4 linked regions of the Mytilus edulis genome follow. The protein of the gene in region 1 purifies or fractionates together with the protein of each later gene. This does not show direct contact. Links are inferred from orthologs where the notes say so. Each region holds a gene or a part of one and is shown on either strand. Other genes may lie near its edges.

Region 1 (7,867 bases):
TGAAGTTTTTCCACTATAAATAAATATGTTTAAACTAACTAAGTGAAGTTTTGGAATTATGAAATAACACTTGCTCTTCTCTTGCACACTTGATTGTGACTTTTTTTTCAAATCGATTTGTTGATGATATAAATGATGAAGGAGATTTTGGTTTGGTTGCCAATCTGATTTAAACATTCCGATGAGACAAGCAGTCACCTACAATATGCCCCGAAATATTGTTTATTTGATTTGAAAGCTGAATGATTAAAATTTCATAGTTGGTAACTGAAATTGTATAACATAATTTTCAGATACTCATACAAAGCCGATAATATTCGCCCGAAGCTTTTGTCAAACAATACATGTCCAATAGGTTTCTATAGTAAATTAGTATTTTTTTAATAAGGCCATCAAAAATTTAATATTAGATATCTGGCAAGTCTTTAAATGCATATATATGAGAAAACCTTGTTATATTTTGAGAACAACATTGAAAAAATTATGCTGTAAACTAAATACAGGAAATAAAATGTGTAATAATTTATATAGATCTCTAGACTCTACGGCTAAAGGGAGATAAATCTAAAGCAGAAGATATACATTTTATGAAGCATAGAATTATTAATCAATCGTGGCGATTTTCGGGATCTGAATATAAATCGTAATTCGTTATCTCAAATGGAATTTTTTTTTTCAAACGTGTCTTTTCCGTCCAAAAGCCGGTGAACCCATAGTTGGTTAATCTGGAATGCCATGTTTGGGAATATTATACTACTATAGTAACTTAATTATAGTCCTAGGCCATGTGCAGGGGATTCTCCAGAAATTTTTGAACAAAACCATTTGTTTAATCCATCAATAGGCCTGAAGGAATTACAAAGAAAGATCACAGGCACTTACTTGTCTCTAATTCTTTTTTCTCAACTATATTACTGTATATAATATAACATATACAGATGCAATAGAAAAGTAAAATAAAAAAATACCGAAATCCATTGAGAATTCAAAATGAGAAGGCCAAGATATCAATTGACAAAATGAAAGGCTCAATAATTGATAAACATGTCAAAAATAAGGGTACACTATAAAATTGAGAACGGAAATGAGGAATATGTCAAACAGACAACAACCCTACCAAAGAGTAGATAACAGGGGGAGGCAACCAATGGGTCTTCAACACAGCGAGAAAATCCTGTACACTTAGGTGAGCTGCAGCTGACTCCTAACTATAAATGTGTACAATATATATAAAAAAAAAGAAGATGTGGTATGATTGCTAATGAGACAATTCTCCACAAGAGATAAAAATGACACCGTACGGCCTTCAACAATGAGCAAAGCCAATACCGCATATATAAAAGGCCCCGAAATGACAATGTAAAACAATTCAAACGAGAAAACTAACGGCCTTATTTATATAAAAACATTAACGAAACACAAATATGTAACACATGAACACACGACAACCACTGAAATACAGGCTCCTGACTTGGGACAGGCACATACATACATAATGTGGCTGAAAATGGACGTCACACTCAACTCCAAAACATATAAATTGACTAAAATTTAAAAAAAAACATACAAGACTAACAATGGCCAGGCTCCTGACTTGGGACGGGCTAAAAAATGTGGCGGGGTTAAACATGTTTTATGAGATATTAACTCTCTCAAATGTAGAATAAAGAAACACACAGCAATACGTACAGTAAAGCTCAGTTTAAAATAAGTCCTAGTCCGATGTAAGAATAGGTAACTTGGCAAAAAAAAATAAGCAATATGTCAGTAACTGCTATAGTAGCATACTTAATTTATGTATCCATTGTTATCTTGGGTATTTTTCTTCAGTACAATGAAAAATTAAGTAAATGTTTTGACTAGTTTGTGATATTGAAAACCACAAATTTAATAATTTTTCCGTAATTCAAGGATTTCTTTCGTTAAAATCTAATACGTTGTTACATACACGAGCAAACCGAACAATTAAAGTCATGTGAAACCGCAAATTAAAGAAAAAAATATGCATATTTTTTTTATAACTAAATGGATAGTTTTCATTATAAAACTTATGTACATATACTTTTTTTGAAGAAAATTCTTTAATTTGTCCACATTTAGAAGAAGTTTTCTTTTTTTACAATTGCTTGCTTTTAGGAAGCAATTCGCCGAAATATTTTTCGCATATGCAAGTGACCTTAGCGTGACCCTCCTAGTAAAAACCCGGTGATCGCAATACGCATGGATCTGTCATTGAAATAATCTATGATCTGATTGTAAATGTTATACACGTTCTCAATATCCATACTTCTTTGTTCCCATGATTGTTTACTATAAGGTGACAATCGGTAAACTACGTCTTCAAAACACGGCGATTAATAAGCTGACATATTTGTTAAATCATAACAAACAGAGAGAAAAAAAGTTGACGATTATACGATATTTTGGCGTAAGAAATGTTAAAATCGTGCACAGAAGACTAAGTTTATGATTTACTACATGCATTGGTAATTTTTCACAAGTCATTCGTTTCATGTTGAGAAATATAAACACCATAAGATGGTGACATAGGTTAGCGTCACCATCTAAAAATGGATATTAAAAATTGTGTTATAATCTTAATTATTTTAAAAAATGTCAACAAAGAAAAACAAAATGACATACATATATATACAAGGCATATTAGCAAATATAAAAGACGAGAATACAAAAAAATGACCAGCGCACAATAACATGCAAACTCTAGAATACCGAATGAGTTTGGGAATGTATATCCTATATGCAGGTGAAGTTGGTATTTTGCCACTAAGGTTGGGAAAATTGATAATTTCAAGATTAAAATCGTCTCGCTTGTCATAGATTCTGATACTGAGATGACTTCTTATGTCAAATTCGAGGTATAAGTCTAAAAACCAGCCGAATGAAGCTTTTAAAAAGAATGCATGAAATTTGACAAAAAAAAAGATAACTTTTTTTTAGAGACAAGTACATGTAATGGTAACTCTTGATTTATAAAATTGATTCCAACTTCATCTTCGTTGAGATCTGCTTGCAAAATTTTAAACGAACTTATTATCAATGTCACGCTTGGTGTAAACAGAGACATATATATCTCTAGTGTAAATAATGATACTGGTGCATCAGTGCTCATTCATTTTGACAAGTCGGACCCATTTTTGAAGTAAAAAATTTTAGTAACCTGAGCTCGCTATCTGAATGCTTACAGCGGTAACTGATAACACATATCGATCGTGCATACGCTATTACTGAGAATGACAAAGATGTTCGGAAAACCAAACTTCATTGTTGCGTTTCTTGATGCTTTCGGTTCGGCTGATTTATGATCATTTATGACAATGTGTGGGGTTTTTTGGTTTGCCAAGTTTAACATATATCTACGTTAACGATAGTACACTTGAGTTAACCAAGTCAGGATTATAATGTACAATCGATATTCAATTGACTAATTCGTGATGCTGGCCAAGTTTCTGGATAACAAACCTTAGCCATCACATACTATGTTCATAAACAAAAATCGTTCGTAATACTCATTGTACGTCAGTGCTTTTGCTGATATGTTCATGTTTTTTCCTGGAACTTTGAATAGAAGTTTAATTGTTAAAATAAAAAAAAATCGTTAAAACTAAAAATAAAATATAGAAATCAGAATCAGAGACATATAATACAATTAGTATATAGTATGTGTCTCTGTCAGAATAAATGACAAATCATTGTGATTTTGTCTTCTCAGTCAGGGACTTTCTATACTAACATATAGTATTAAAAGTCCCTGTCTCAGTAGCACTGAAAAAAAATTCAAATTCATCATGAATATTAGCTAAATTGAAGAAAAAAAGAAAAACACATTTAAATTTGAGAATCGTCTTTTTGTGTCACCACTGAAAAAGAGTATATCCGAATTATAGTTATTAACTTCTTTGTCCATTAATGTATCCTGTTGTATCTCGGTCGTACGGATGTATTGCCGCGAGCACAGTCTTGATTACACCATTTAATTCGTCCAGCCTTTATAATAGACTTTTTAAAATTCATATAGAGTAAGGGCATTATTTCTTAAAATTATATTCAAGTCAGAGTGTTCAATGCAAAAGATATTATAAGTTTGATTAAGAGAGTTTTTCATACCAATTTTTTCACACAAAAGGGGGGGGGGGGCCTTTTTGTGTGAAAAAATTGATCGGTTATATAGGAAATTATATAGGGAATCACCGAAGCATGACTGGAGCGGGCCCAATCTTAGGCAGTCAGTGGGTACCACCTTATGAACATTTCTGGATCCGCCACTGTTGACATTGTCTATTACAAAATTTCCAGTACATGTATTTTAAAAAACTTCAAAAGATTGGAGGAAAGAGACTTCAAACGCGGGAAATATTATTTCCCCTTAATGTAGCAACCGCTAGTTCCTGTCATAGGTGGCAGTGCTTGATCATCGAACCTCGTGAAAATGGCAGACTCAAAATTATACGACATTTTAGGCGTCAGTAGATCTGCCCAAGACAATGAAATCAAAAAGGTATCAATGAAAAAGCAATAGTATATGTCAATCCTTACGCCTTATCTGTACCTGACTAATTTCAAATATGAATTTTGTCACTTTCAAAGGCGGATGGTGACTCAGGATTTCAGTAAGAAAATTAGAACGTTCCATGGTTTGAACTTGCACAATGATAAATTAAACTATATGTATTACCCACAGGTATTTGGGGCATGGACCCCCCTTTTTTGGACCTCTCTAAAAAAAAATTGGTGTTTTTTTATTTATTTTCAATTTTCTAAAAATGTATCAAGTCTCAACAATCCATTGCTAGTCGATTGCAATAACTTTTTTACTATCCATACGAGCCCCAAGTGAAAAAAGAAGAAGGTAATTACCTTCGATGACTGACCTACTTTCACTTTGGAGGATCAGGTCAGGAAATCGATAAAAATTTCATATAAAAACTCACTTACTTTTCATAAAAAGTACATCCTTAGATTCATGAGATATTTTTCTCAACGTTTAAATAGGTCTGCGGAGGTTTTGTGTCTTGTTTTACTGATTTTGTTCTACAATTGTCGTCCATTTGAACCTCCATTCACGGAAGTGAAAATACAGCGCCATCTGCGTTGTCTTTCGCTATGTTTCTATAACTCCGTTTGACTAAACTGCTTTCCTGTTTTTATGCCCCACCTACGATAGTAGAGGGGCATTATGTTTTCTGGTCTGTGCGTCCGTTTGTACGTCTGTCTGTCCGTTCGTTCGTCTGTCTGTCCCGCTTCAGGTTAAAGTTTTTGGTCAAGGTAGTTTTTAATGAAGTTGAAGTCCAATCAACTTGAAACTTAGTACACATGTTCCCTATGATATTATCTTTCTAATTTTAATGCCTAATTATATTTTTTATCCAATTTCACGGTCCATTGAACATGGAAAATGATAGTGCCGAGTGGGGCATTCGTGTACCTTGGACACATTCTTGTTGGTTACCAGTTTTACATATGGGTTCCGAATGCAATGTAGCTATAAGAAAAGGTAAGAGATATGGACCATAATTTGCTATTGGGCTCCGTTTCCTATAACTATAGAAAAGTGATAAAATGTGAATTACTGTAAGAAAAGTTGTAACTACATCTAAAGATGCCATTATTTTTATCAACATACAAGTGTATGCTACTCTTCCCTAGAAAAAAAATTGAAATTAACAAATTTCAAAGATTATACGACCGTATTTGTGTGTCGTTTCTCGCGTTACTTTTCGCGTCCGAAGTGCATAACGCTGACTAATTTATAGATAATCGTCACCGGCAAATTCGTAATTTTTGCTTTAAAATAACAAAGAACATCGACCAATAAGAATAGTGAGAAGAAAATGCCGAGAACTATAAGTATTTCTGTAGCAGGTGTAAGAACACTGTCGTTATTTTGGTTTCCCATTTCGTAACGCACATTTTAGATGGTTTAATCTGCTTTGTTGTAAAAGAATTCTTTGCAACAATATGCTAATACGAACTCTCGCGAGATGTTCAAACAGGTAAATCAGAGATGATTTACATTCTTGTTTTGTTCTTCGTAATAATTAAGTTAGAAAATGACGTTATCGTTATGCGTTACATTTCACACGAAACAGAAGTCCATTTATTTATTAAAATTGTTTTTGTCGTTAAGTTCTAATCATTTCCGGTCATACGTGAAACATGTGACTAACATGTGATCACGCCCTTACAGCCGGATATACGAAATACTAGGTCTAAACATTGTATTTGTTTCCAACGGGATGTAAGCAAACATAATCTGTAGGCTTGTTTCGTCTTGTTTAAAAAAGGAAAATACAATTTTCAAAGAGATTGCGCCGGGGGTCTATTATTTTTCCCATGTGCATAATGTTACATACGATCTTGTGTGAAAATAAATGCCCAATGACTTGACAAAATCGATTTCAGATTTGACCGACGTTTTAACACACTTCGTTTCCCAATAACGATGTGAAGGGTCCTTGGAAAATTCAATCGAAATTACGTCTCCTATCATGGTGCCAATGTTCGTTGGATTGATTTAGCTTCAACAGTAAATATTACTGGATATTTTAGGTGAATAAAGATAATTTAATAAAAAATACATGTTAATGTACCGTTACACTTGGAATGTACAAAGTTGGTATCTTTGTCACAATTTTTAATTAATTTTTTTTATTCATGTTCTGCAAACACTTATCAGAAACGCAATAAACTTGTCAAAGGAAAAGTAAACTTTTACCATGCATTACTTGAAAGGAAGTACTTTATTGATTTTAGCCCACTAAAGTAGGTTAAAATGTGGAAACCATGTAGATGGTGTACAGGTCACAAATATCACATGGTGCCTATTTTAAAGATGCTAATTCCAAGTTAAAAGTTGTTTTCTTTACTGGATTTAAAGAATTTTACATTACCAATGATTTGGAATAAATTGTATATAACTGGAATTTCAAAACCAAATATAAATACATTTTTTTGGCTAAAACATCAAGATACAACGATTATGGTATCCTGTATCAATGAAGAAAATACGGAAATTCCTGAATAAATTGTACTAATTGTTTTCAAAACAAGCACATATTTAGGAGTTTTATAATACTGTTACATTTAAGATGGATTTTAAGAAAAAGTATACTGTTCAGATCATTTTAAGCAGATTTTGCAATAAAATAAAACTAAAAAAATGCTTTCGGTTTCTTATGGTTTCCTGTCGCGTTTAAAAAAAACTTTAATTTAACATTGAAAATAGATTTTAAATATTAACATGAAGCAAGTAACACTAGTAATGGTGTTCATTTATGTCTTTTGAAATATATTGTGCAAAATAAAGAAAATAAAGATTGGTTTCCTGTTTTGTTTCCTGTCACGTAAACGGTGAATCAAAATGTATTAATTTTTTCTCGAAAAACTCAATTGTTCCATTAATACTATTCTAACATCAACACAACCCACAGAATAAAAGTTAAAGTTTTAGAACTTATAAAAAAGGATACAAAAAGAAACCAAAGGCCGAATACCAAATTATGGTCCATATTCGAAAAAAGTATTTTTTCCGGTTTTTAAAAATTAAAAAAATTCAAAACAAACAGTTAACAGGAAAGCAGTTTAGTCAAACGGAGTTATAGAAACATAGCGAAAGACCTGTTTGATGATGGCGCTCCTCAATCTTTCAATTATCCTCTGCCATTGTCAAATGACCTGTGCCATCTTAAATTGTCTTGCGCCATCGTTCAAATTTATTTCCCCCGACGCCATTTTCTTGGGCAATTATAATCAAATGCATGTATTTGCATAACCCTAAGGCTTTGTATTATACTAGTACTGACGCCTGAGGGATATCCGGATTAAGATTGCTAATCACTTGAACCTGAGC
Region 2 (8,766 bases), on another chromosome or scaffold:
TGACAATATTAAAACTTGATTTATCACTTGTACTTTGACATATCTTTAATTTCTGAAGTATTTTTGCCCTGTTCACCAAGAAATAATTAAATCTGGTCTATGTATGTGTAACTGACAATGAGACAATTCTCAATCCAAGTCATAATCAGTTTTGGGGCAACCCCTTAATGTTATAAATATCCCTTTTACCGTACATGTTTTATGAGGGATCAATATATAAAAATATAATATATTTGTTTGTACAAAAGGGCTCATATTTTCTCAAAGAACTATATATCTATCTGGTATTAAATGGTCAAAACATGTCCAAGAATTTTTGTAATATTCCTGGACTTTAACCATGTTAACACATTTACTTTAACAGTTTAATATTATTCAAAATAAGTGGACCCCTCTTTTAGAAAAAGTTGTTTAACATATGATGTACTAACTTTCCTCTTTTTGAGTACAAAATTCTAAGTTTTCAAAGGTTTTGTATAGAAGAACTATACAAATCCTTGGTATTTCTATTTTCTTTTCTACATCAGTAAAATGACACTTTGTTCTCAACCTGATAATAACAAACACAGGTCAAAGTACGGCCTTTTACACAGGGCTTTGATACAGACCAAACAGCAAGCTAAAAGGGAGTCAAAAATTATTAGCGTACACAATTCAAAAAACCAACGATCTAATTTATATATCCGAACCGGAAAATACCAATGAACCACATCAACAAATGATAACTGCTGAACGACAGGCCCCTGAATCAATCAGGACAGGTTGCATAAACATGCAGCGGCTATGGATAGTTTGTTTCGCCAGCATACAATATAATTGCAGTTGAAGGCAAATCCTTCAGAAGTTCTTTGTACTTTATTCTAACAACGAACATATTTTGATAGGGAATATTAGTAAGGGGGAAAGAAACCATTTTTTTGTTCTTGAAAGGTATTCCCGCTGTTATAAATTTACATCGGAGCACTCTCACTTTTGATAAATAGGTTTCATGCTAAAACAAATATTCTCACAGATATTTACACAGTGTGGTGGGGTGCTTTTATGTTTAAAATCGTTATATACAGGTTAGACTGTTATTTTAAAAACAAATGTTGATATCTTTTTATAATATTTACAAAAAAAAACGGTGCGGGGAATGGACATGATTACATTTCCGGATGCGGGAAGCGGGAATATAAAAAAAAAAAAAAATATTCTGTTTTGAAAAAAATAGGTGCGGGCGGGTCCGTCGAACAAGGAATCAAATTGGTGTGGCCTAAAAACAGACTAAAAGAAAGAAAGAAGATTAATTCTTACGTGTTGCAGGAGCCTCTGAACCCAATAGGTACATAGAATTGACACTATTTGGCTCATAGCTAGTCTTTACATATGATTTTGCTGTTCTAGGTCGTGGCTTGTTTTCAAGTTCTTCCAACTTCCTGTCTAAATCACTAAGTTCATAGGAGGCCTGTAATGTCACAGGAAAAAACTTCAATCCGTTTGAATCCCTATATTTCAATGAATAATTTCTTTCATCATCATTAAGCTGTCTTGTATCTTGAAGGGCTAGAGCAGCACCTAACGTTCCACTATTCTTTTGAGGTGACCTTGACCTTGAAGATGCTCCATATCGTGGCGATAATGAATATTCCTGACGGCTTAAGTGAACAGGTTTTGTATACCACAATTCCTTACCATCATCAACAGGAAGACCTCCAAAAGATTCAGTAAACAGCTTCCTGTCTCTAATTCTGTCATATTCTTCTTCTAAAGGAGTTTTGTGACTCAAACTGTAAGGCGAGTGATGACCAGAAAATGTCACACTTCTTCGCAATGTACTGTCTACATTTTTGCTAGTATTTTCCAAACTTTTGGCAAGATCTCCTAGTGACTCTGCATATTTTCTGTCGCGGTAATTATCCTCCTGATCTAATATGTGTTGACTTAATCGTGATGTTGTGTTTGTAATTCGAGAGTTCCTCAATCCTAAAGGCTTTTCACTGAAAGGACATATAAAAGAGAAAACTTTAATTATCAGGTGGCAGTTACATGTAATATTAGAGTGTATACTTTTACGTATTTTAAAAGTGATCAATAATATGGCCATTGATTGTTGTACTTGTGTTTTATTTGGCACGAAATTATGTTACATTTTATTGTCAAGAGTCCAATATCTTGGACATACACATTTCATGCATGGTGCAGCTTGTAACTTTAGTCAATAATAACAGCATTGTTTGACTCTTTCTTCGGCTTAGTAATCATCGCTGTCTTAGTCAATACCACTGTCCTTAAAGGGACGTCAATATATCACGATAATGACCAGTTTTTCAATAACTATTATGTAATGAAATGTGTGTTTTGACAATTGTTCTTTTCCACATGCTTTCTAAAGCTTATTTTTGATACATGAAGGATTTTTATACATGTACTACAAATATTTTTCAGTTTGAGCCAAACTTTATTTTATTTTTATAAAAATTTGACTTAAAATGAAACCAATTTTTTCTGATGATGTAATTATGTTATGTTTAAATGTAAAACGGCTAAATATGACCACATGGTTAATCATGAACTAAGTATCATCGACTTCTACATACATCTTTATATATATGTTAATGAAAGCAATCCTATCACAGTAGAATACATGTAGGTCAGATCCAAAATTTTTAGGAGGGGTTTGGGGGAATTCCAGGAACCAGTATAAAAGACTTTGAAGGATTCCTTGCTTAATTACATGTAAGGCACCAACACTTCGGTGCCATGATTTTCCCAGGACATCAAGAAATAATTTCCTAAGGTCAAGAACCGATTGATTTGTCAGGAAAAACTTGATTTTACAAGGTGTTACATACTACCTACCATAAAATGGTCGGATTATTCATATCCGACTAAACGGATTAAGACATCCATAAAAATAAGTCTCTACTCGTACTGTATACTACTTAAAATAATATTAAAAGTTTTAAGATAGCTGTGTTTAATCAATCAAAGTGCATTTAACTTCAGGCAATCGATTACCATGTCTTGTGGACGTAATTTTTCAAAAGGTAGACAACCTAATTTGTATACATTTTGTACAAGATATAAAATCAATTTTCTAACTTGTAATTTTATTGAGTATAAACGACCATATAGTATGTACATGTATATAACACCATGTCAAATCAAGTTTTCAGGTGAAAACAATCAGTCCTTGGAAATTTGATTAGTTCTTGCTATCCTATGAAAATCATGGTACATGTACCCCTACCGCCGGTACCTCGAATGACCGAATAACACTGTTAATATCAGAATAACACTTGTAATTCCCGAATAACACTTGTGATTTCAATATTAGCACATATTGGTGACTTTTAAACATTGATTATTAATTAATAGTATATTATCGATGTATTTTATAACTTATAAATGATTTACAGAAAGCAGATAAGTTCATAAAAAACTTTTAAAATTTAGTGTGTACATCGAATATGGCGACCACAGAAATCACAATGGCCGCCATGTTCGATGTACACACTAAATTTAAAATTTTCTTTATGAACTTATCTGCTTTTTGTAAATCATTTTTAAGTTATAAAATACATCGATGATACATTACTATTTAATAATTAATGTTCAAAAGTCACAAATATGTGATAATAATATGAGGCAGGCATAACCTGAGAATGGAGACGAAGTCCGTATGATTTTTTTTTTATGAATGTTAAAAAGAGAAACGAAAATACCGTAACGTTTCCGATTTTGGTTCTGTTGTTAAGGATTTAGTTGTGATGTTATAATGTCATATTCAATGTAAACAAAGAACGTTATGTTTCTGATTTTGGTTCTGTTGTTAGGGATTTTAGTTGTGACGTTATTAAAGTTATGACGTCATATTCAATGTAAACAAAGAAAAGCTATCATCATGTAACGTTTTTTTTTTTTTTTTTTTTATAACAAACAATTTTTAAAAATGAATCCTTTCTTCGACTGATAAATATACATTTTACAAAGTCTCATGCAAACAAGACCGGAAACGGAAGTAGATTTCTGTGCAGAACCGGAAATTCAAAAATTCGACAAAAAAAAATTGAACGATTTTGAGTTCATTAGTACAATTTCCTGATTTTTTTTTTTTTTTTTTTTTTTTTTTATTGAATTTTCTACTGTTATTGGGGTTCTGTTGTTAGGGATTTAGTTGTGACGTTATTTAAATTATGACGTCATATGCAATGTAAACAAAGAAACGCTATCATCAGGTAACGTTTTTTCATAACAAGGAATTATTAAAAATGAAATTAGTATTGCGCGTTCCTTCCTATTTTATACTAGACTGATAAATATATATTTTACTCAAAGTTTCATACAAACGAGACCAGAAAAAGGAAGTACATTGTACATTTCTGCGCAGGTCCGGGATTTCAAAACACGACAAAAAAAATTGAACGATTTGAGTTCATTAGTACATAGCTGCGAAAACGTAGCTCTTAAGGTCCTTTTGATGATTTTTGATATTTGCGGATACTAGATTCAACTGTTGTCAATATATATCAATTAAATTAATTTGCATTGAAGTCTATGGAAAATCTAGAGGATTCTTAGCCGCATCACCTCTCAACATTGTTTACATAACACAAATGCTAATCATTGATTGGTCAGTTACATGTTGTGATGTCACTGCAGATCTGAGATATTCTCATGATAATGATGTTTTGTACAGATTTATGACCCAAAAGAATTGGACAAAGGCATAAATCAAACATTGTCAATGATTCGGAATGGTTTATTTGAAGTTATGTCTACTTGGGATGTAGAAGTATCAAACCAAACCAGTATGACAATAACAGTAAAAGTCCTGTCAAGACTGGTAGCGATTGTTTTGATACTTGAATGTTTTGAGTTATCTCCACTTGTCAGGTGCTTGTTAACCCTTAATTTATTATGCATTAAAGAATATTGTCTACTACTGCTGAGAACGTATATTCAGTTTAATTTTTAAAAAGACCTGTATGAAGCTCTCTGTCCATGTAAAACAAAATCTTCATCGGGGTTAAGGAATTGTTGGCTTCTTGTAAATTCCCGCATGCTGAAATTCTTTTGTTTACGGAAGTAGATAGTTGGATACGACGCATGCGAAGAGCAAAGCAGTGCATCTGAATCTCTGAACCGCTCTAAGAAATTGATTTTTGAACGAACATACAAGTTTCAAGCGCACCTTGATCTCCGGTGTGGACATGCACATTTCCGTTCAACGATTTTGAAAGCGAAAGAAGACCTACGAAACACACTTACCAGACAAATAAAACAATGGCAGACCCCCAAAGATTTGATGGCATGTTGCTTGCTATGGCTCAGCAGTGTGATGGTGGAATACAGGAGGTACTTTAATTCATTTCACACAAATATTGGGTAACATGAAGAAAGTTGTGCTTGGAAGTAGAGATCCCAAATGGTCTAGAATGTTCTGCCTGGCTATCTATCACCCCCTCCCCTTTTCTCTCTCTCTTTCTCTTTAAACGACGTACATATATATATAGCCCCACAGGACGCAATTACGACTGGACACAATTACGAACGATTTCCAATGTTTGCCCTCTTAGATCATATTTATTTATATTTATCAATAAATGTTTTTATAAATAAAAACCCTATTAAAATTCCCTTGTTTTAATGATAATACAATTTATGTGCACTCGGTGAATGTTGATGACGATGACAAAATCATTCTGAAAATATTATAAGAACGGCAATCTGGCCTGCAAGTTATATAAAAAAAAATAAAGGTAAGTGCATATTGCCTTTTATTGTTAATATATTGAAAGAAAAATATCTCCTGATTCCGTTCATATGCGTGATGCCTTTTATCTTGCCCTAATAACCCCACAATTGACGTTTTTTAGACTCTTGTGACCAATTTTATGGTCTGACAAAAGAAAATATGTTAATTTTATTGAAAAGTGCAGAGAACTCCGAAAGAAATGTTGACCTATATAAAAAAGATTCATAGATGAATGATAAGTACACCACCAAAATGGATAAACTTGAATTTAGTGCTCCTTTAAAGGAGGAACTTACATAAAAACAAAAAAAATCAGAAATCTTTCCTTTACACATGACCGAAATTTCGTCTGCAACCACTGCTGAAGTATTTGAAGTTAAAAAACAAACTTGTGCATCTTATTTTCCTATGAAAATGTGTTTGAGATAAAGATTAATGTATGCTTTATCTATGTAGACTCTTGTCATTGATTTCTTCTGCAAGATATATCAATATAGTGCTGTTCGGAATTGGGTCCATATGTGGCTCACTGACCCGTAAAACGAGGTCACGCAAATCTTGCTAAAGTATCCTAACGTGAATAAAAATTTATGTGGAATATGATGCAAAATGGAAAGCCTTCATACAAAATTCTATGGTATAAACAATTCAAGAAAAGTAGTCTACATAAAAAAATATTAATCACAGTTCAAAAATCGTTCGTAATTGTGTCCGGTAAGGCTATAGATATTTACACATGTCTCAAAACCAGGGTACGAATTCTGCTGAGAAAATAATGCCTACACAAAATTGCAGACCTAACATAAAATTTGTTGGGTAAAATGACTTAGTATCAGTATTAATATCGGTTTTTATGACGATTGGCTGTCTTTCGAGGTCACCTTGATGGTTAATTGGGATCTCCTGTAGTTGGTGATCGCAATACTGGTATACACAATTATGTAGCTGTGAATCCGTAGCTCTTAGGTGCCCATGTTATTTTTGGACTATTTGCAGACCTTAGAGCTTCTGATTTTTCCTATTTCAAAATGTTCGGAATTGCGACCCAGGTTCATGTCTCACCTCCGGTATAATGTATTTCCCAAAAATTTATTGTTTATAATCCATGCAAAGCTTGTCCCTATATATAGTTCGTTTTGTTGAATATTTTTTTTTAAGATATGACGTACCTATTTAAGTTTGAATATTCATTTCCTTAAAACTATTATCTAATTATTCCCATTTGTATACATTCTCTGCCTTTTTTGTTCAGCCACATTGAATCTTGTGATGTCACGTGCAAGAAAAACAAGAAAATATAATATGACTAATGATATCTATTTTATGATAAAACTTGTTTTGATTTGCGATTAGAATTATGTGGTTAATCTATTGAGGACTTCCAATAGTTTTTCAGTTGGATGCTACCATTGAATAAATCTCTTAAAGTCTAGTAAAGTGTGAGATTTTATCAATTTTATACTGTAAAGCCTATCAGATTTGTTTCTCTTTAGATATACTGCTCCCAGGTTTTAGTACAAAAAAAAATGTATGTTATAAATCAAATTTGAGAATTTGAGAAAAATTGGTTAACATGAATTCGACAGTTAATGTCCATATAATAATGAGAATAACTCATAATGCATATTCACCTACCAAAATTACAAATGTCAAACTATTCAAACCAGATTTAGCTCAAACATGCAGTTGTCATAGTTTTCCAAAAACTATTCATGAAACATTGACTGTTTGAACAATATTGTTAAGTGTGTAATATTGTTCATGTAGATATGTGTATATATAATTATTCATATTGATTTTCTCATATTTTGCAGTTGATAAGTGCCTTCTTTAGTTTCTTATTAAGAAAGACAGACTTTTACACAGGAGGATTGAGAGGAGATGGAGAAAAGGTAAGACTAGATTTTTCATATAAATTATTTTTTCTAATTATAGAAAGGAATTAATTATGAAATTCTTCCCATGTATTTTTGCTGAAAGTTTTATTTGGGATTGATAAACAACATGAAAAAAATAGACAATAAATGCCATAGGTATATTTTAAAAACTCATAAGTAGAAAAACAAATTGACAATGCCATGACAAAAGAAAGAAAAGGACACAAAGACAAACAAGAGTAAACACAGCAGAGAAAATTAAATACCATGGGCAATTCAAAGGTGATCAAATTCTCACGAAATAATTTAAATGTGGATATGACAGTTTTCTGCTTCAAAATGTCAATTTTTGTTACTGGGACTCATTTTGTGAGCTTTTTACTCCTTGAAAATTGCCAAAAAAATTGCCTCAGTGGATGTCCTACATTAAACCAAGGTTTGCCTTCAGATCATATTACAATATAGATCTGACATTAATTAGGACAGCTTGTTTTAGTTAACACAAATGCTACAGTGAGTAAGAGTAGTTATTTGGGAAAGATTTCCCTTTGAACCCCCTTCTGTTGATAGAATAGGCATATACATTGTATATATGCAGGAGAATTCAAAAGGAAGTCTTACCATAATTGTGTTAGTATAATTAAATTTATGTCTTAATATAAATAAACCATTATAGGTCAATGTATGGTTTTCAACAGGGAGCCTTGGCTCACGCCGTTCTTATACATGATACAGTATGTAGCATAAGTTGTTTTACACAATTCTTTTTCTTGAAATATTTTTCTTAAAATGGAATACACATGCTTTCAGATTTAAGTCTTGACTTTTTTTCAGATGATTATGAATGCATTTAAACGTTACCAAGATATGGCAGAACAAAAAATGGCAGAGATAAAGAAGGAAAAAGATGAAGAGGAACAAAAGAGGAAAGATAGAATTGCCAAGAAAAAACAAAAGGAAGAAGAAGAGAGAAAGAAAATGGAAGAAGAGCCCAAAATTAAAGAAATTACAGACGAAGAAGCTGAAAAAATACAACAAGAAATAGAACAGGTGCTTAGTGTGGTCTTTGATAATGGTTTATTAAAGGGCTCAATGATGGTTCTGAGGATTCAATCTGTTTTCTTTGGTACCAGTTTTTTGTGGATCTAG
Region 3 (8,313 bases), on another chromosome or scaffold:
CTATTGACTTTGTGAATTTAACAAATGAAGATCTCAGACGGAAAAGTAGCAGATATCTACTGGGTTTTTTTTTTAAGTCTATCTTTGTCAACTTCGTGAAAAAAGAAACATTTTGAGCAGATTTCAAAAGTTTACACCAAAATTCCTCTCCATTATGCTCAATTCGTGCGAATGAAGATCTCAGTGACAGAAAAGCACCAAGTTCTCTACTGGTTTTTACTTGGTTTAATAGTTTTATCATCTTCGTAAACACATTCAAAAAATTGAGTAGTCAAACCAAAGATGAAACAAATTTATAACAAAAACTCCACTCTGTACATATATGGTAAATGTCATTATTATGTACTATGAAAAACTAAACCAAAATCATTTGAACGAAGAAACACATGTTTTTCCACATATCACCGAAATCAAAGACAAAAAGATACCCATCCTTTTATTTTTTATTTATTTATGCATCATTTAAAAAATTGTAAATTCAATACATTTTTCACTTTACCAGTTTTATGTAGGCATACATGTACGAAAACACATGTGCTTCAAAGAAACGAGAAAAACACATTTCATTATTGTAATTCAAACGAAACAATTATGTTGCAAAAACGGGTCTATTGACTATTGTTCTGATTTTTTTTTATAGTTTACGGAAAATGTATGAGTTTTCAGTATAGATATGATGGTGTTCATATGTACTCAATATTCCTTACAGACTGCTTGTAGAGGCGGATTTAGGGGGAGCAGGGGGCATCGGCCCCTTTCTTCTGGGAGAAAATGGTTGATTATAAAGGGAATCATTGAAGCATCACTGGAGCGGGCCCCCTCTAAGCAGTCAGTGGGTCCCCACTTAAAAAAATCTGGATCCGCCACTGGCTTGCTGCTTCTTTTTGTGCATGATAATTTAACTTCTACAGCTATCTATAATAGACATTCTTGGAAAATTACAACGGCAATGATCGACCACTTGCCATCTAAATTTTATAACTGGACACATATAAAGAGTTGACAAAAGGCAACCGAAACTCTTTTCATACAATTTCTAAAAGGTTAAAAGATATAGCATAGACAAAGGAAGGATTAAATTACCAATACTTGTTTTCTTTCTTCCTATATCCATTTAGTATTTCGAAAACATGAATTTAACTAATATAAAACTCTTCATTAATAGAAATTCAAAAATAAAGTATTGCATGTTACCTTGGGAGATAGAGAGGCCCTGTACAACAGTACACATTTCTGCTTTGTCTGGCTTTCGCCCGGACATACTTTTCCAAATCATTCCAGGCATCTCTATTGAACCCCTCTCCGACCTATTCGAAAAAAGTTGACAAAATTAATGAAAATAAATTAGAATGAAAATTCATGTCCAACAACATGCTAGACGTATTTGACAAAGCAAATAGACATTTGCAACTCATATTTACTAAAAAAAAATTGTATGATTTTAGCATTTAGTACTTTAATACCTGTAGCTACGTTTCAGTGTATGACCTGGCTTCAACTGAAAATACCTATTTCTATATTGATGATATTACACACTTTGTATATATGGATAAAAAATGGTGTGCGGGGTAAACATTCATGAGAAGGCAACAGTCGATTTACACTATACCGTCATGCATATATAGTTCCTTAACTTTAATTTTATAACTCTGGCAAAAGTTAGTCAGATATGAATTATATTAAAACTATACTGTAAACCTGGAATAATTTATTTTCAGTTGCATTTCGAGAGCAAATAGCGTGTCCTTGTAGTTTTATAGCCATTGGCCATACCTATCACCCATCAGTTTTCATTTGCCAAAAATTATCAAAAACTTTATCAAAATATCTTGAAATTATAGCTTTTTGTTTAATTCTTATATATAGATTAGATGTTAGCTTACATTTGTGTGTACTTGTATATCTTGTAAATTAACAGCTTCCAATCTGTATTTATTGGGTAGTACAGGCAATAATATTAGAGTGTAGGACCGCATGATTGTATATTAGCAGGATGAATATTTTAGTTACTGTTAGGATCATTTTTAATTATTAAAGATAATTAATCTTTTCATTAAAATTTGGATGAAATGCAAAATTATTGTAAGTAAAACAAACACGAAATATTATTGTCATATTTAAATGTTTTAGTTTCATAATATAAATGATATAGCTTATGTTGGAGATGATAGGTCGTTTAGGCTGGTTTTTTTTTTTTTTTTTTTTTTTTTCTTGATAAACAAAATGTTTTAGAACAAAGCGAATTTACAAAATATCTGTTTACATGGTTTAATTCCATTAAAAATTTGGGGGAAATATATACAATATTGGGTTTTCTAATAAAATCCTCCCTGTATATCATTGAAAAATAAGTTGACATATATGTTATAATTCGGTTAAGTTTCACCTCTAATATCTTATCTATTTGTCAGTGTTCTTTTCATGTATTTATATCTTTTTATTCTTCATTCTTCAAGTCAGATTTTTTTTTAATAAAGATTGTTTTATCTTTTCGGCAAAAATCCCTGTTAACTTTAAATATACAGACTTGTAAAACATAGTTATACATGTAATATATGCAGAAATGTACGTGTATGCTTTTATCTAAAATACATCAAGCTATGATAAATTTAGAAAGAATTTTGCTTGATGACCTCTATACATTTTGAACATGCATGTAATTACATGGAAGATACTTTTTTAGTCTACCGAAATAGCTTGTCAAGATTATTTCTTTTATTGTATATTACAACAGAACCCTGTAGGGACTTCCAAAAACCTGCATATATGTGTACGCAAAATACTAAAGAACCAAAACTAATAAAACTACCTGAGGTGATACATTGCTGAGAGTAAAAGTCTGGTCCATAGCTTTCTGTGTGTGGCGATGGTTAGCTGCCGCTGCAAGATGTCCTTTGTCATAGCCACTGTTTTTGAAGTCATTTTTTGTAGCCCGGAAGAAATTGTGGATGATGTTGTCTTCCAGAAATTCTGATTTACCTCTCTTGATGTTTTCATTCTTCATAACATGCTCTGGTTTAATGTGTTCAAATACCCATTGGGCATTCCTATTTCTTCTGTCATAGGACAGTACAAAATTGTCAAATGATCGAACTTGATCCAGACTAGGAAAGCCAAACTTCATGATTTCTGAAACGCGATTTACTGGTTGTGGAAAAGCTGCAGGCATACTTGTACTTGTAGTGGCAGGAATAGACGACGAGGCAAAAACTGACGGAACGAATAATGCTTTGGTGTCAGTCAAGGGTAACAAATGAGTTAGAGGGTCTTTATTTTCCTTCTTCAGTTTTTCATATTTGGTACCAAAGAATAAACCAATTCCCATAGATGCTCCACAAAGGCTGGCAGTTGTGATAAAACGAACTCTTGACATGTTCGTGAATAATCCAATGTCAACACTGACAACGTGCTAGATAATGAACCGGATGTTCAATAAAATCCAAAGTAAATAATGATGATTAACATACGGAATATTTATTTCATTAGTTAAATCTGTTTGTACATTTATCTTTAATGGACGTTCTTAATTCTTTCTTATTTAACAGTTTTTGCATGGATTTTTTTTCTCGTAATTTTTTTTTATATAAAGAGGACTTCAGCTTAACAAAGCTTTTAAAAAGTATATTTAGACCTATTAAACTGTGGAAGTAAAAAAAGAACATGACAAAAAACAACAAAATCCAACTTGCAATTACAAGCTAACGGTCAGTCTTTTTTTAAGATGTTTGGTTTCGGTTGCGTGAATTGTTTATTCATCGGTAGTTGTTTATTATATTTAGCATAAATTTTGCAAGATTGATTAGCATTATCTATAATACTAAAATTACGAGGTCCAATTTGTCAGCCGTCATCACGTAAAAACGATGAATCAAAGAATTCAACTTTATATACAACTAATATAGTACAAAGGTGTAGATTAAAAATTACACCACTCCAGTCCCTTTTGTTTTCCACGTAATTAATATTGCCAATAATTAGGAAGTTCCGGGTCGAGTCCAATACCGATACCAATAGTATAATCACCTGTTACCTATTACCTTATCTGTACGTTCCGCATCTGACAGGCGCACCACCAAACGGTGTATTGAGGATTAATATGCTAAATACACGGGTCATAATCACAGGGTTGACACTACTAAATTGTCAAATTGTTACCTATTGTAGTATTTTAATCCGTAAGACTTTCTAAGATAACAATACGAATACTAAAAATCTGGACTAAAAATATTAAAGTTTCAATTTGTTAGCGGGCATGACGTAAAACAGCGAATCAAAGAATTCAACTTTATTTATAACTAATATAGGACAATGCTGTTGATTAAAAAATACTCCATTCCAGGACCTTTTGTTTTCCAAATAATTAATATTACCAATAATTGATAAGTTCCAGTTCGACGGGTTCAAACAGAAAGATTTGAAAGCAGAGAAAATTGTGTATCTTATAATCGGCATGACTTTATCAGATGACAGTACTAATACTAAAATAAGGCTTGCGCATAGTTATATACTTTAATTCAGTCACGGACCCGCGATATCACGGGTGTGTTCTAGTATATAAAAAAAATACTTTTGACGGTTGCTTGCTTAATGTCTAGTGGCAAGTATTTCATGCATATTTACAGCGAACAAATTAAAAGTACTGAAGTGCTGAACATCGTATGACTGCAAGTTCTTGTGGATGGTCACGTACTTTTTCAAGAAAAAAAATCACATCTCTATGCCTGAAAGTCACATTACGTCCAGTGGCAAACAAAACATATGCGTTATCAGGACAACCATACATTAACAATTAATACTATAAATAAGTTCTATAATAAGAGGCGAAAAAAATCCGGAACTTTGGAATTGTACTTTTATTTTTTCCTGAACTGTGGAATTGTACCTTTATTATTTCGGGAATTTGGGATTGTGCCTTATTTTGTACGGTTATTAGGAATTAACACTTATCAGGGCTAGAAATTCAAAAAAATATTCTTGGAAAGCGGGCAAAGACTTTTTTTTTCATTTTTTCGGGACTTCAGTATGGCATTGTTCATTCCCTTTACATAATAGAGCCCGTTTGAAATTAAAATCTGATGAAATCCAACTGCCACAAGATGATAAGAGAACATGTACAGGGACAAGTGTGTTGCCTTTCAGCATTCCACCGACGGCGCACTGAAAGAGTTGTTACAAGGATTTTAATGTGCCGAGGAGGTATTTGATTTTATATCCACATTATAACATACATAACACTGCTGCGTACTTTTACATCCCGCACAGCCGAACGGAGCCCCAACTTTGGAAAGGGTGATACTCTTATTCTTATAAAGACCTAAAAGACTATATATTTCAATTTGCAATTAAATAGTAAAAGGAGTTTACGTCAATGAAAGAGCAATAGCCAAATAACGGGGGAAAATTTGACGTTTTTATAAAAATGAACCCGATTGGGTGTTTATAAAAATGACACGCTTTAGTTGCCTTCTACAACTTTACATATTTTGGAGTTTATGCAGTGACGTTATATGGACACGTTTAGCGGAATCGGACACTGTGGGGGATGGACACATTTCTGGGTGCTTCACGGTTTGATAATTTCTCTCCATATATTCATTGTAATGTCGTTAATGAAACTATAAAACCGGACAAATATCGTTCTGGAGTTATAATGTACATTTCTTTATTTTGGAGAACAGGATGGAAAGTAAAGGGTACGACAGAGTAAATGTGTGACCCCTGATGTTGGGTAATGCAAAAGTAATTCTATCAAATAACAGTCTTACGAATCTTATTTTGTTTTCTTTCATTTAATACAAAAATATATAAACTTGGTCGGCTGAATCATGGCCATAAATGTTAAGAAATCTCTGGGATTTCTTTTTTCTGTTGGATTTTTTTATAGTAAACATTTTAACCCCGAAAACTGCAATAATAGTAGATTAAAATTTACGTGTTGTTTACTTTGACAACACATGCACCTGTCTCAGAATTTTTTTTCTTATATACCTTAATTTAACACAAGGTACTTAACTTGCATTTTAGAAAAAATGTCAGGCGGTGACGAAATTCCGTTATATGCCCCTTTCTAGGCTGTCAACCATACTAAAACTTGTTATATCGTTAATCTAAATTGATTTATCTTTACAATGGTGTATAACACGCCTACATTTGTTGTCGGAATTATTCGTAGCAATCCTACCCAAGTATGTCAATCGTAATAATTTTGCCAACCGCTGAAAATTTGGAAAGAAACGTCTCGCAATATATTAAGGTATATGAGACGTTTTTTTTCTGAGACAAGTGTCTGTAAATTATAAAAATATGAGAACATAAAAACTTGAGAATAATTGCTATCTTATCTATTCACTTGCAGAACAAGGATTGTGAAAGAAGATACACGATCAATTTGTCTACGTTTCGTGCAGGCTGTACCAAAATGCACTTATTTATTTTGATTATTTTGCTCATTGCAGATTTTGTATATGTTAACAGGTCAGTACATGTATGTAATATATATTCACTTTGACTCACCCAAAAAGAAAAAAAGACAAAATGAATTTGGTATGCACCAATAGGGAGGTAATAAAGTTAGCATTGATATAATATTAATAGGGTTGCAGGAGCGGTTTTATGTTTCAATTTAAAACATTAAAATGCATCAAAACAAAATCTGGCAATAAAACTAGCCTTTATACAAACAAGTATCTGGTAATCGATCCATCTTGATAAAATTGGAAAAGATTGACTTTTCTCCGAAAGAAGGAATATCTGATTCATGGAAGAGACGCATTAAAAAAAGTAAATATGGAGGTTTGAACAATATTTAAGCGGTTTTCACGTATTCATGAATTGCCAAGAAATTTGAAATCAGAATATGGAAAAGTTTATATTGTCTTAAGCAAAAGATAAAAGCGTGCCTTTTTAGTGTTCTCGGTGTCTTAGGTGGCTGAGGTTATATTTGATAGATTTGTTTTTTTTTAAACCAGAATCAGAGATTATAGACTCCATGCTGAAGCATATGTCGCCTGCCAAAAGTTGAAATGTTCGAAAATTAAGATGTATAGAAGATCTGTTGCTTAGAATTATCACCAAACACAATTTTTATTTTAAAAAATACATTAATTTCAGTCAGGTATAAGAAGTGCAATATTTAATTTTAGTCAAACGACACCAGGGTATAATTTGAAAGCTTTGGGAGTCAAGGAATTTTTACGTTTTGATGCCAACCATGATGGAACCATTACTTTAAGCGAATGGGAAACTGTTCTTCGAGGAGATGATGATGATGGTAAGTCCAATAAATGTTCAATGAAAACAGCGATGTTGGAAGGTACGGTATGTGCTCAAAGGAACCGGCGATGTTGGAAGGCACGTTATGTGCTTAAAGGAACCGGCGATAATGGAAGGCACGGTATGTGCTCAAAGGAACCGGTGATGTTGGAAGGTACGTTATGTGCTCAAAGAAACCGGCGATGTTGGAAGGTACGGTATTTGCTCAAAGGAACCGGCGATGTTGGAAGGCACGTTATGTGCTTAAAGGAACCGGCGATGTTGGAAGGCACGGTATATGCTCAAAGAAACCGGCGATTTTGGAAGGTACGTTATGTGCTCAAAGAAACAGGCGATGTTGGAAGGTACGTTATGTGCTCAAAGGAACCGGTGATGTTGGAAGGTACTTTATGTGCTTAAATGAACCGGCGATGTTGGAAGGCACGGTATGTGCTCAAAGGAACCGGCGATGTTGGAAGGTACGTTATGTGCTCAAAGAAACCGGCGATGTTGGAAGGTACGTTATGTGCTCAAAGGAACCGTCGATGTTGGAAGGCACGGTATGTGCTCAAAGGAACCGGCGATGTTGGAAGGTACGGTATGTGCTCAAGGGAATCGGCGATGTTGGAAGGCACGGTGTGTGCTCAAAAGAACCAGTGATGATGGAAGGTACGTTATGTGCTCAAAGGAACCGGTGATGTTGGAAGGTACGTTATGTGCTCAAAGGAACCGACGATGTTGGAAGGTACGGTATGTGCTCAAAGGAACCGGCAATGTTGGAAAGCACGGTATGTGTTCAAAGGAACCGGCGATGTTGGAAGGCATGGTACGTGCTCAAAGGAACCGGCGATATTGGAAGGCACGGGATGTGCTCAAAGGAACAGGCGATATTGGAAGGCACGGGATGTGCTCAAAGGAACAGGCGATATTGGAAGGCACGGGATGTGCTCAAAGAAGACGATGATGATGGTAGGTACAATGTATGCCTAATGAAAACGACGACATCGGAAGGTACAACAAATGCTCAGAGAAGACGACGAGGTCTGAAGGTACAGTATGTAC
Region 4 (8,702 bases), on another chromosome or scaffold:
TAGGCATTTTCTTTTTTTTTTTTCAAAAAGAGAAATTGAAGTATCGGGTGTTTATAAGTCTTCATGCCTATCTGATTAAAAAGAAACTTCTTTAAATCAGGACAATAAAAGAATTTGAGTAGGCAGCTTTTTTCTGGGTAGGTAGCGTTTGGGCAAACTAACCTATTCTTTTTTATGGCCTGATGTATCTAAAAAATGTTTGATATCCAATTTCCCAAATCTTTGCTGTTCATTTTATATTTCAAACAACCCTTTCTTATTGTGATGTAACAACAGCATTAGAATTTTAACATTTGAGAAAAGATAAAATAAGCTACGATTCCATTTGAGGTGGGCAAATATTTATTTTGTTTCAAGATGTTTCTTTGTTAATTGTGCATGTTGTGGGAAAACATATACATCTTGAAACAAAATAAATATTTGCCCACCTCAAATGGAATTTCGTAGCTTATTTTATCTTTTCTTTTGGATATTTCTGGATATATTTTACATCAATAAGCACAAAAAAGGTAGGACTTTGTCAATCTGCGCCAAAAACTTTTTCAACTACTAGTCTGAAGACCAATATTCTGACATTTTTCTTAATTGTCCAAACAAAGTTTTGCAAAAACTTACTAGTCCGAATGAAGTTTTAATGGACTAGTATATGTAGCTAACCGTGCAGACTGCTTTGTAACTACGTAAAAATTTCTAACCGGCAATGAAAATTTCATGTCAAAAATTATTAGGTGTCAAAAGTTCCCCCCAAAATTTGCTCTCAAACTCCAGACGTAAAACATGGCTTCAGCGTTATGGCGTCGTAGGAAGGTGTCCCAGAAAAAAAATTAAAATAGCCTTGCCAGACGTCATAATTATTTGGACTAGGTCATGTCATGATAGTAGCAACTTTTGGTTAGACAGTTTTCTAAAATGAATTGGTTGCTAGATTTAGATTATTCCGTTGAAAGATTACCAAGGATCAAACTAATAAACTAGCACTGAAGCAGGTAATGATGGTATTTCAGAAAATTTGCCAACCATAGGCATTAAACATATAAAGAAAACTACTGCAAAATTAATACTAGTACAATCAACAGGTCAGGAATAACCACCAATTGGTGGATTATTCCTCAATTGACGTATAATCCACCAATTGACATATAAAGATATAGACCAATTGGTGTATTTTTTTTTGTTTTTCAAAACAAATTATTTTACCAAAATGGAGCATTGTTTTCTTAAAACCATATTATGGTATGAAAACTTGTCAAACATTCCTAGTTTAGTATAGTGACATAACATATTGAATTTAATCAATAATTGTATTTGTAGTTTCTTCTATTGTTATCTTGTCAATTCTTGATTGGCAAATTTACCTGTAATCACCTGTCAATGTATGTATGTATGTATATATGTACTTCGAGATTCCACCAATTTAGACGCACCCCTTGATTGACTGCAAGGGTACAGCGGATCCATGTACACTCCCTAAGGATTAATGGAGATGTGTCCTTTACAATATTATCCTACCACCAGAACAATCCCCACCCAACACCGCCCCAAGGGAGAGTGTAGGACACAGGGAAGTCTGTTATTATGGTGGAGGAAGCCGAAGTACTCGGAAAGAAACACCGGGCCACTCGGTGGAAACACGACAAACCAGAGAGATATCAGAAGATTGATCTCCAGGTCAAAGTAGGGGACAACTTTGACCAACTGAGGCCCCCAAAGTACCCATTCTAGTTTAAACTCCAGTCTGGGTACCAGAGATGTGTGTGAGAGGGTCAGTGTTCCAGCTAGGCCGTTTTCAGAGGGCGCGGCGCCCGCCCTTTTCCGAGTGGCGCCCTGTGCCCTTTTTACAGTTTCCAGGGCGCCCTGCCTTTTGCATATTAATTTGCGTATTGATATGATACGCTAATTACTAAATTTTACCTGGGGAAAAGATTATGACTTTGTTTACCACCCCAAGCTAATCAATGGTTACAACTGGTGTCATAATCTGTTGTTATAGGTAATCCGTTTATCGGATGGGTCATTAATGATCATCAACATTAATTCGTTCAAATAGAATCGGTCAGTCGGCAATTATCTTTGAAGAAATGTGCATACAACAACTTGGGCACAATTTGCGATGTTTACCGTAGTTTCATGGAAGAAACGTAATGACAGAAAGTTGGAAAACCATTATAAACTCGTTGAAGACATTGTTTTACTTGTTTTCTGTAAAATAAACAGAAAATTCAGACGTATTTGCGATTGACTGCCTTCATTTTTGATACGAAAATAACAAAATCGGCCGCCATATTGTGATCATATTTACATCATATTTACGTACTGTTTATAATCCTCCAAAGAAGGAGCACACCCGAATAAAGAAAGATAACTCAATCTGATTTTTTTCCTAGCATTGAGTAACCCATTTACATATTCTAAAATGTGTCTCCATACTTCTTGCTTAAGAATATATATGTTTAGGTATTTATTTTGAGTTATGGGAAAAGTTAAAGAGGGTCTTAGTAGCAGTGTTGGTAGGGTGCCTTGGTCATCTTTTTCTGTATTCTTTATTTTTGATACTATTTTTCACTGTTGCTTTATATCCTAAAATTGTGAATTTCCTGAGCACAGCTGTTTTGTGCTGTATTGCTATCAAGCACAGCAGGGGTAGAAAGGTGAAACTGGTAAAATGTGGTAGACCATAGAAACAGTATGAAACAGATCTCCTTTCAAAACATACTGCATATAAAGTTCAACTGTGCCAAGCAATGATAAAAAAACTTGTGTGACAAGCTGCTTGACAAGTTTTTCAGCCTTAAAAGTAGAAAGATAGAGTTCTATATGGGCTAAAGATGTTGTTCTTGTATAACCTGTGATTCAACGAATAAACACAAATGTTTGATTAACATCTTTTATTAAAATATGCCCTTTTCATATTATCATATCGCGCGTTAAATGCCCTTTTTCAGGATTGACACCCTGCCCTTTTGAAAACCTAGCTGGAACACTGAGGGTGAAAATCACCCTTCTGATGTACTGATATTTTAAGCACCCAGACTGGACAAATGTTTCAACAAAAGAATTGTTGTACACATGCATTCTCAAGAGATGCAGCAGGCTTTGACAAAACTGAAACTTTCGGAGGACTCAAATTATAAGGGTCATAAAAATTATATGTTGCAAGTTGCAAAATCATGCTCCTTTCTCACACTAGCATTTTATTACAAAAAAATTGCATTATACGTCAATTGGTCTATACCAATATACCTCAATTGGTGGATTATACGTCAATTGAGGTATAATCCACCAATTGGTGGTTATTCCTGACCTGATCAAGGAAAATTTTGTATAGTCTTACTATACAAATCCTTGGTACAATTAAATATGTTATTTTGAGCTCACCTTGCTCCGCTTTGAAATAACGACGGGAGGAGATAATGTTGCAGCTTTTCTTTTCTTCATTGAAAAATTCCTAGAGGTTGGCATGTTGTTGATGTTTTCTCTACAAACCGCGTCAAAAAATTGTTATGAAACAGTTCCCGCCAGTACTTTCGGAATTTATTCGGAACATTATTTCGTCTTCTTCTTTCGTATCAATATCCCCAGAAAGGAACACCTCACACAGGGAAGGTCTATGAACAGGACAGATAAAACCAGGACAGTTATTTTCGATACGTTTTTATCTGTAACTTTCGTTTTACTCAACATATTGTTAAAATGTAAATTGTATAATAAAGAACAGGATATTTACTTATATTATCTGTAAAAGAAAATAAAAATAAAAAATAACTAAGTTAAAAAAAAATCTGCCAGGACAGTTTAATATTATGAAAAAAATGGCTGAAATTGCCGAGAAAAGTTTACTTATAAATGAAATATTTTCTCCAAAACAACTGTCTGGCATAATATTTTTGTACGATTATAAAGTTTATGGAATATTTATTCTAAAAATTTATGGTTTAATATTTTTTTTCATCTTTTAAAGGTAAAAAAATCTGCCAGGACAGTAGCCTTTCACGTTAGAAATTTTGTTGAAATTATTTCAAAATCAAAATATAAAATTAAATATCTTCTTCAAAATAAATGTCTGGTAAACAAATGTTACTATAAGAAAAAGATAGATTTAATAAACCAAGGATGTGAATAGTGTCTTACTATACATGTGTACTTTATTATGTGACTGTGTGAATTCTTTTTATTGCACTCAATATGTGACACTTTAATAAACAAATTATTCCGGCGAGTCATTTAATGTATAGCTATAATTAACTAAATGATTTTTGCGGATTCCGGAACTTTCAGTGAGATATAATAGATTTAAATTTGATTTTGAGTAACAAAAAGAAAGTTAACAAGAATTTCCAGCTGAAAATCTAACAGGATTTTGTCACCATGGTCACTTTATTTCAAACATCTAAATAAAAGGATCAACACCGATTGGGACTCTGATAACACTGAGTTAATTGTTAAAAAAAAATATGTATTTGCATACCCACAAGGTTAATCTTTTGTATTGGAAAAAGAATGACACATTTCTTAATTCAAACTGAAAAAAAAACTATAACTGGTAAAATATATATATATGGATTTTTTTTTATTGATTTCTGTATCATTGACATATGATTTCCAACCTAGAGGTGTTACAATGTATGTACGTCCGGTGACCGTGCACCCCACTGCATAAATTAAATATGATATACGTCTAACCTTTATACATTTGAATTATCATACATTTATATTATTATATACATCAGTTTTGTTTTTGGAAGATTTTGTAATTTTTAGAGAAAAAGAATGTTGTAAGAACTGCCCGGTGTTTTTTCCCCTCTTTTGAATACTCAAATTTTAATCAAATTCTGTTTTATGATTATTCAGATTATTAGTAGTTTAACATTAATACGATATATAAAATGTGCCACAAAACGAGGAACCACACGGTCTCCGTTCAATATTATAACCTAATTTAAAAAATAGTTTAACTGCCAAATCATTACATACATAAAGTATATCGCAATTAATCTATTATTGTAATATGTTTAATAAACTCTCTAGCCAATGTAGAAGAAAACACACACCAAGACGCACAGTAAAATGTGCCTGTCACGAACCTATAATTCAGTGGATGTCGTTTGTTGCTGTTTCACATATATTTTTTTTGTTTATTATTTTTGTATAAAAAACGTTAGTTTTTCTAGTTTTTCTTGTGTTTTTTATTCGTTATTTCGTGACATTGCGTTGTGGGTTTTGCTCATTGTTGAAGACTGTACGGTGACCTAAGTTGGTAACTCCGCGCCGTGACGTTGTCTTTTGGTCTTTTGTGGAGATGTGTCTATCTAATTGGAGAACATACCACTTCTCCTAACTTTTATATCATTCTGAAAGGAGGATAACCAAACACTAACACGTTTTAAGTTTAACACCGTTACATTTTGTAAGTGCGATCTAGTCCTAAGTCAGAAGGATGGGCAGTAATTCAGTGGTTGTCGGGTTTTTCAGTGTATCATGATATTTCTTTATTAATTTTTCATTTACTGTTTAGATTATTGATAAATAGAATGGCATTATTTTTCTTCATTTCAGTTTTCTCAATGGCAATCACAACACATCTTGATGAAGAAAACAATTTGTAAATTTGCAAGGTGGCTTAATTATGTGTGCTCGATTTAAGGATACCAACAAGTACTATAGTATGACCGCAAATCTACCAATTTTTAAAATTTAAAGAAATACGGCTAGTTTAGAAGTAACTACGCTTTAGAAAACAGATGTTGGCAATATTAACAGATTCGATACTTTAATTGACATGTATGACACGAATTAAAAAAAAAAGACTTAATCTGTTGTCCGCTATTCTAAATGCATTTATTTTTTAAATAATACACACAGGACAAGCCAATCTATACCTTGACATGATATAATATATTATGGATATATAATACAAATTTGTAGGACAAACTGCATACATGTTTTGATTAACCGACCTAAAGCCGAAAGGTCAAAATGAATTCGTACGAGAAGTTATCCCTAAATTTAGTATTCAGTTCATGTTACAGAGTGTTGTACACGTAAAACTGTGAAATGTCTTGACACAAACTCGGTGAAAAGTTATCAAAAGGTCAATCACATCAAACGAATGGAAAACAAGTGTCATACCCCAGACTTTAAACCTAATATGAATGTATATATATATGGTGTGCGCAAGTGTCAAAATATGTGTGCTATGTCAAGAACGGTAATTTATGTTCAGTAATATTTCAGTTATAATTATATTATCAAAACATGCATTAAAGGCCTTACGGTGACCTATAGTTGTTAATGTCCTTTTGGTCTCTTGTGGAGAGTTGTCTCATTGGCAATCGTGCCACGTCTTCTATTTTATATATAGTTTGTAATTCAGGAGTAAGGTTAGCAACTGCATTCCTGTTAGATAGTTAATTTACATTTCTTTAATCTTTAATCTTTCCAATTTAGATATTCAAGTCTTACAATGTTAATTATAACATAAAAGTCAAGCCTTTGCATGATTAATTTTAAAGTCAACACATGAATAATCAAGTTCATCAAATTAATAGCCAACATTTAAAAACTACAATTATTTCTATTCTGGCTATTCATTTATTTCTTGGAGACTTGTGCTAAAGTGTTTTCTAACAGAATCAAAATGTCTGGTAATTACAAAAACCACAAAGGTAAGTTTTTTTCAGGTTTTTTTCAGTTTTATTGTATCCAGGGACTTTCTATGCTAACTGGACTCGTCTCTATTGATTTTGACTGATTACTAAGCCGCCTGTTTAAAGCTACCACTCAACAATAAACTTAGTTTCGTATCTCTGATATACGAAGCTAGTAGTTATTTGCGTATTTCACAGTACATTGTAATGATATAATTATTATTAGTTTTTAATATAAATTGTTATAAGTGACCAGTCCCGTTAGTATAGAAAGTCCCTGTTGTATACCAAGGTAAATCTGAAACTGAACAATTAAAGTCAATCCATAGTTTTTTTTTCATAATTTCTATTATAAAACACTTTATCCCAGTTATCCCTCCTTTTATCTATGTTATCTCCCCTTATTTGGCAAAGTTGAAAAAAATGAATCAAAACAAACTTGGTGTTTATTTAAAAATTACAGTGGTAAATATGATAAAACACATAATTTTCTTTATTTACATCAAAAGTCTTACACGTGAATTACGTACCACTCTAGAAATTTGCACGTTTCATTACAGATCTAGACTAATCTGTAACTTCAAAATCCAAGATGAAGGAAGACATCCGAGCCCCCCCCCCCCCCCCATGAGGAAAAACCTTCTATTATTATTATCATAACGCATAAGTTGTATGTTTGAAAGGCACAATTATGTATAGATTATTTTAAATACAAGACAAATTCAATCAAATATTAAATTAATCATATCTCGAAAATTATATATTTTGACTTTTTTTCACTTTTTTAGTGACTGCTTTGTTTTAACATGTCCTGGTAGATACAAAAAGGCGTTTTACCTTGGTCAGTTGGTCAACACAATATCAAATGGAAAGCAAACACATTTACTTTAAACTTTAAATATTTTCCAGAACTCAACAGAGAAAATTGTTACGTTTTTTAACTAGAACAAGTGAGACAAAACTAAATGAATTGTCAGTCTATTGAAATTATTGTAACACTTTGTAAGTTTGTTTTATGCCGTAAATATATTTTATAATCGTCAGGGGTGGGTCCAGGTAAGGGCGTAATGGCGTACCTTTTCAATTTTTTTTTTAAATATCGTAATCTGCTAATATTGTATTGAATATGGCAATTTATCATATTCATTACTTAAACATATACTCTGATTTCTTTTTATACTGATTCCCCCATCCAATGGGTGACTTGGACACCTTTTTTCAACAATATAAATCTATACATGAAATGGTTGTTTTGTGTGACACTTCCCCAATGGCTATTCTACATCTACACGGGTCTGGGGGGGGGGGGGGGGGGGGGGGGGTACTCGCTATATATACTTATATGATACCGGGTATGTTCCGACAAACGGGGTTGCATTTTCAGCAAAATTGTCTGAATTTGGTTATGTTTTTTTCTCGCCTTGCATTGGAAGGGGCCAGATTTAACTATCTATAACGGGGTATTTTAAATATACAATGTTTACACTATTGTTTCACATAAGGGTGAATGTTTGGTACCATTAAAACGTTTAAACCCGCTGCAACTGTTTGCACCTTTCCTAAGTCAGGAATCTGATCTTCAGTAGTTTGTTGATGTGGTTTATAAGTGTTTCTCGTTTTACGTTTTTTATATAGATTAGACCGTTGGTTTTTCCCGTCTGAATGGTTTTACACTTTGTCTAGTAATTTTTTGGGACACTTTATAGCTGGCTGTTCGGTATAAACCAAGGCTCCGTACTGAAGACCTTTCCTTAACCTATAATGGTTCACTTTTATGAATTGTGACTTGGATGGAGAGTTGTCTCATTGGCACTCATACCATATCTTTTTATATCTACTCAATTGAAAACAACGTTCAAACATATGATTGCGTTGGATAAAAAACTGCAATTTTTATACGGGTGCATGCAAAACAAATTTATTGGTAAAGGGGTCTAAATACAGCACAAACACCATTTTCCAAAAGACCAAAACAGTGAATATGTATATTTAAAAAAACAGGTAGATATATAAATCAAAAGTTCAGATCATGCCCATTTCATATAACATTTTAACTGA

Evidence for each region.
Region 2: the proteins of dnaJ homolog subfamily A member 2-like (region 1) and nuclear migration protein nudC-like purify together in Homo sapiens (affinity purification with mass spectrometry; 4 studies listed by BioGRID and IntAct, with this or other methods). This does not show direct contact. The link is inferred for Mytilus edulis from reciprocal best matches to the Homo sapiens genes DNAJA2 and NUDC.
Region 3: the proteins of dnaJ homolog subfamily A member 2-like (region 1) and endonuclease G, mitochondrial-like purify together in Homo sapiens (affinity purification with mass spectrometry; 3 studies listed by BioGRID and IntAct, with this or other methods). This does not show direct contact. The link is inferred for Mytilus edulis from reciprocal best matches to the Homo sapiens genes DNAJA2 and ENDOG.
Region 4: the proteins of dnaJ homolog subfamily A member 2-like (region 1) and WD repeat-containing protein 76-like purify together in Homo sapiens (affinity purification with mass spectrometry; 3 studies listed by BioGRID and IntAct, with this or other methods). This does not show direct contact. The link is inferred for Mytilus edulis from reciprocal best matches to the Homo sapiens genes DNAJA2 and WDR76.

Annotation. Positions count from the first base shown.
Region 1 is NC_092348.1:49,350,393-49,358,259, reverse strand, and holds the start of dnaJ homolog subfamily A member 2-like, read left to right. Parts: upstream 1-4,368; 5' UTR 4,369-4,447; coding exon 4,448-4,516; intron 4,517-7,867. UniProt on the Homo sapiens protein: Co-chaperone of Hsc70. Stimulates ATP hydrolysis and the folding of unfolded proteins mediated by HSPA1A/B (in vitro).
Region 2 is NC_092353.1:36,784,543-36,793,308, forward strand, and holds the start of nuclear migration protein nudC-like, read left to right. Parts: upstream 1-5,107; 5' UTR 5,108-5,268; coding exon 5,269-5,340; intron 5,341-7,554; coding exon 7,555-7,632; intron 7,633-8,451; coding exon 8,452-8,667; intron 8,668-8,766. Other genes in the region: uncharacterized protein, read right to left, coding at 1,297-1,979, 4,967-5,046. UniProt on the Homo sapiens protein: Plays a role in neurogenesis and neuronal migration. Necessary for correct formation of mitotic spindles and chromosome separation during mitosis. Necessary for cytokinesis and cell proliferation.
Region 3 is NC_092345.1:52,567,493-52,575,805, forward strand, and holds the start of endonuclease G, mitochondrial-like, read right to left. Parts: upstream 3,413-8,313; 5' UTR 3,374-3,412; coding exon 2,810-3,373; intron 1,308-2,809; coding exon 1,195-1,307; intron 1-1,194. Other genes in the region: uncharacterized protein, read left to right, coding at 6,787-6,792, 7,111-7,270. UniProt on the Homo sapiens protein: Endonuclease that preferentially catalyzes the cleavage of double-stranded 5-hydroxymethylcytosine (5hmC)-modified DNA.
Region 4 is NC_092350.1:66,304,759-66,313,460, reverse strand, and holds the start of WD repeat-containing protein 76-like, read right to left. Parts: upstream 3,554-8,702; 5' UTR 3,460-3,553; coding exon 3,376-3,459; intron 1-3,375. Other genes in the region: uncharacterized protein, read left to right, coding at 6,635-6,662. UniProt on the Homo sapiens protein: Specifically binds 5-hydroxymethylcytosine (5hmC), suggesting that it acts as a specific reader of 5hmC.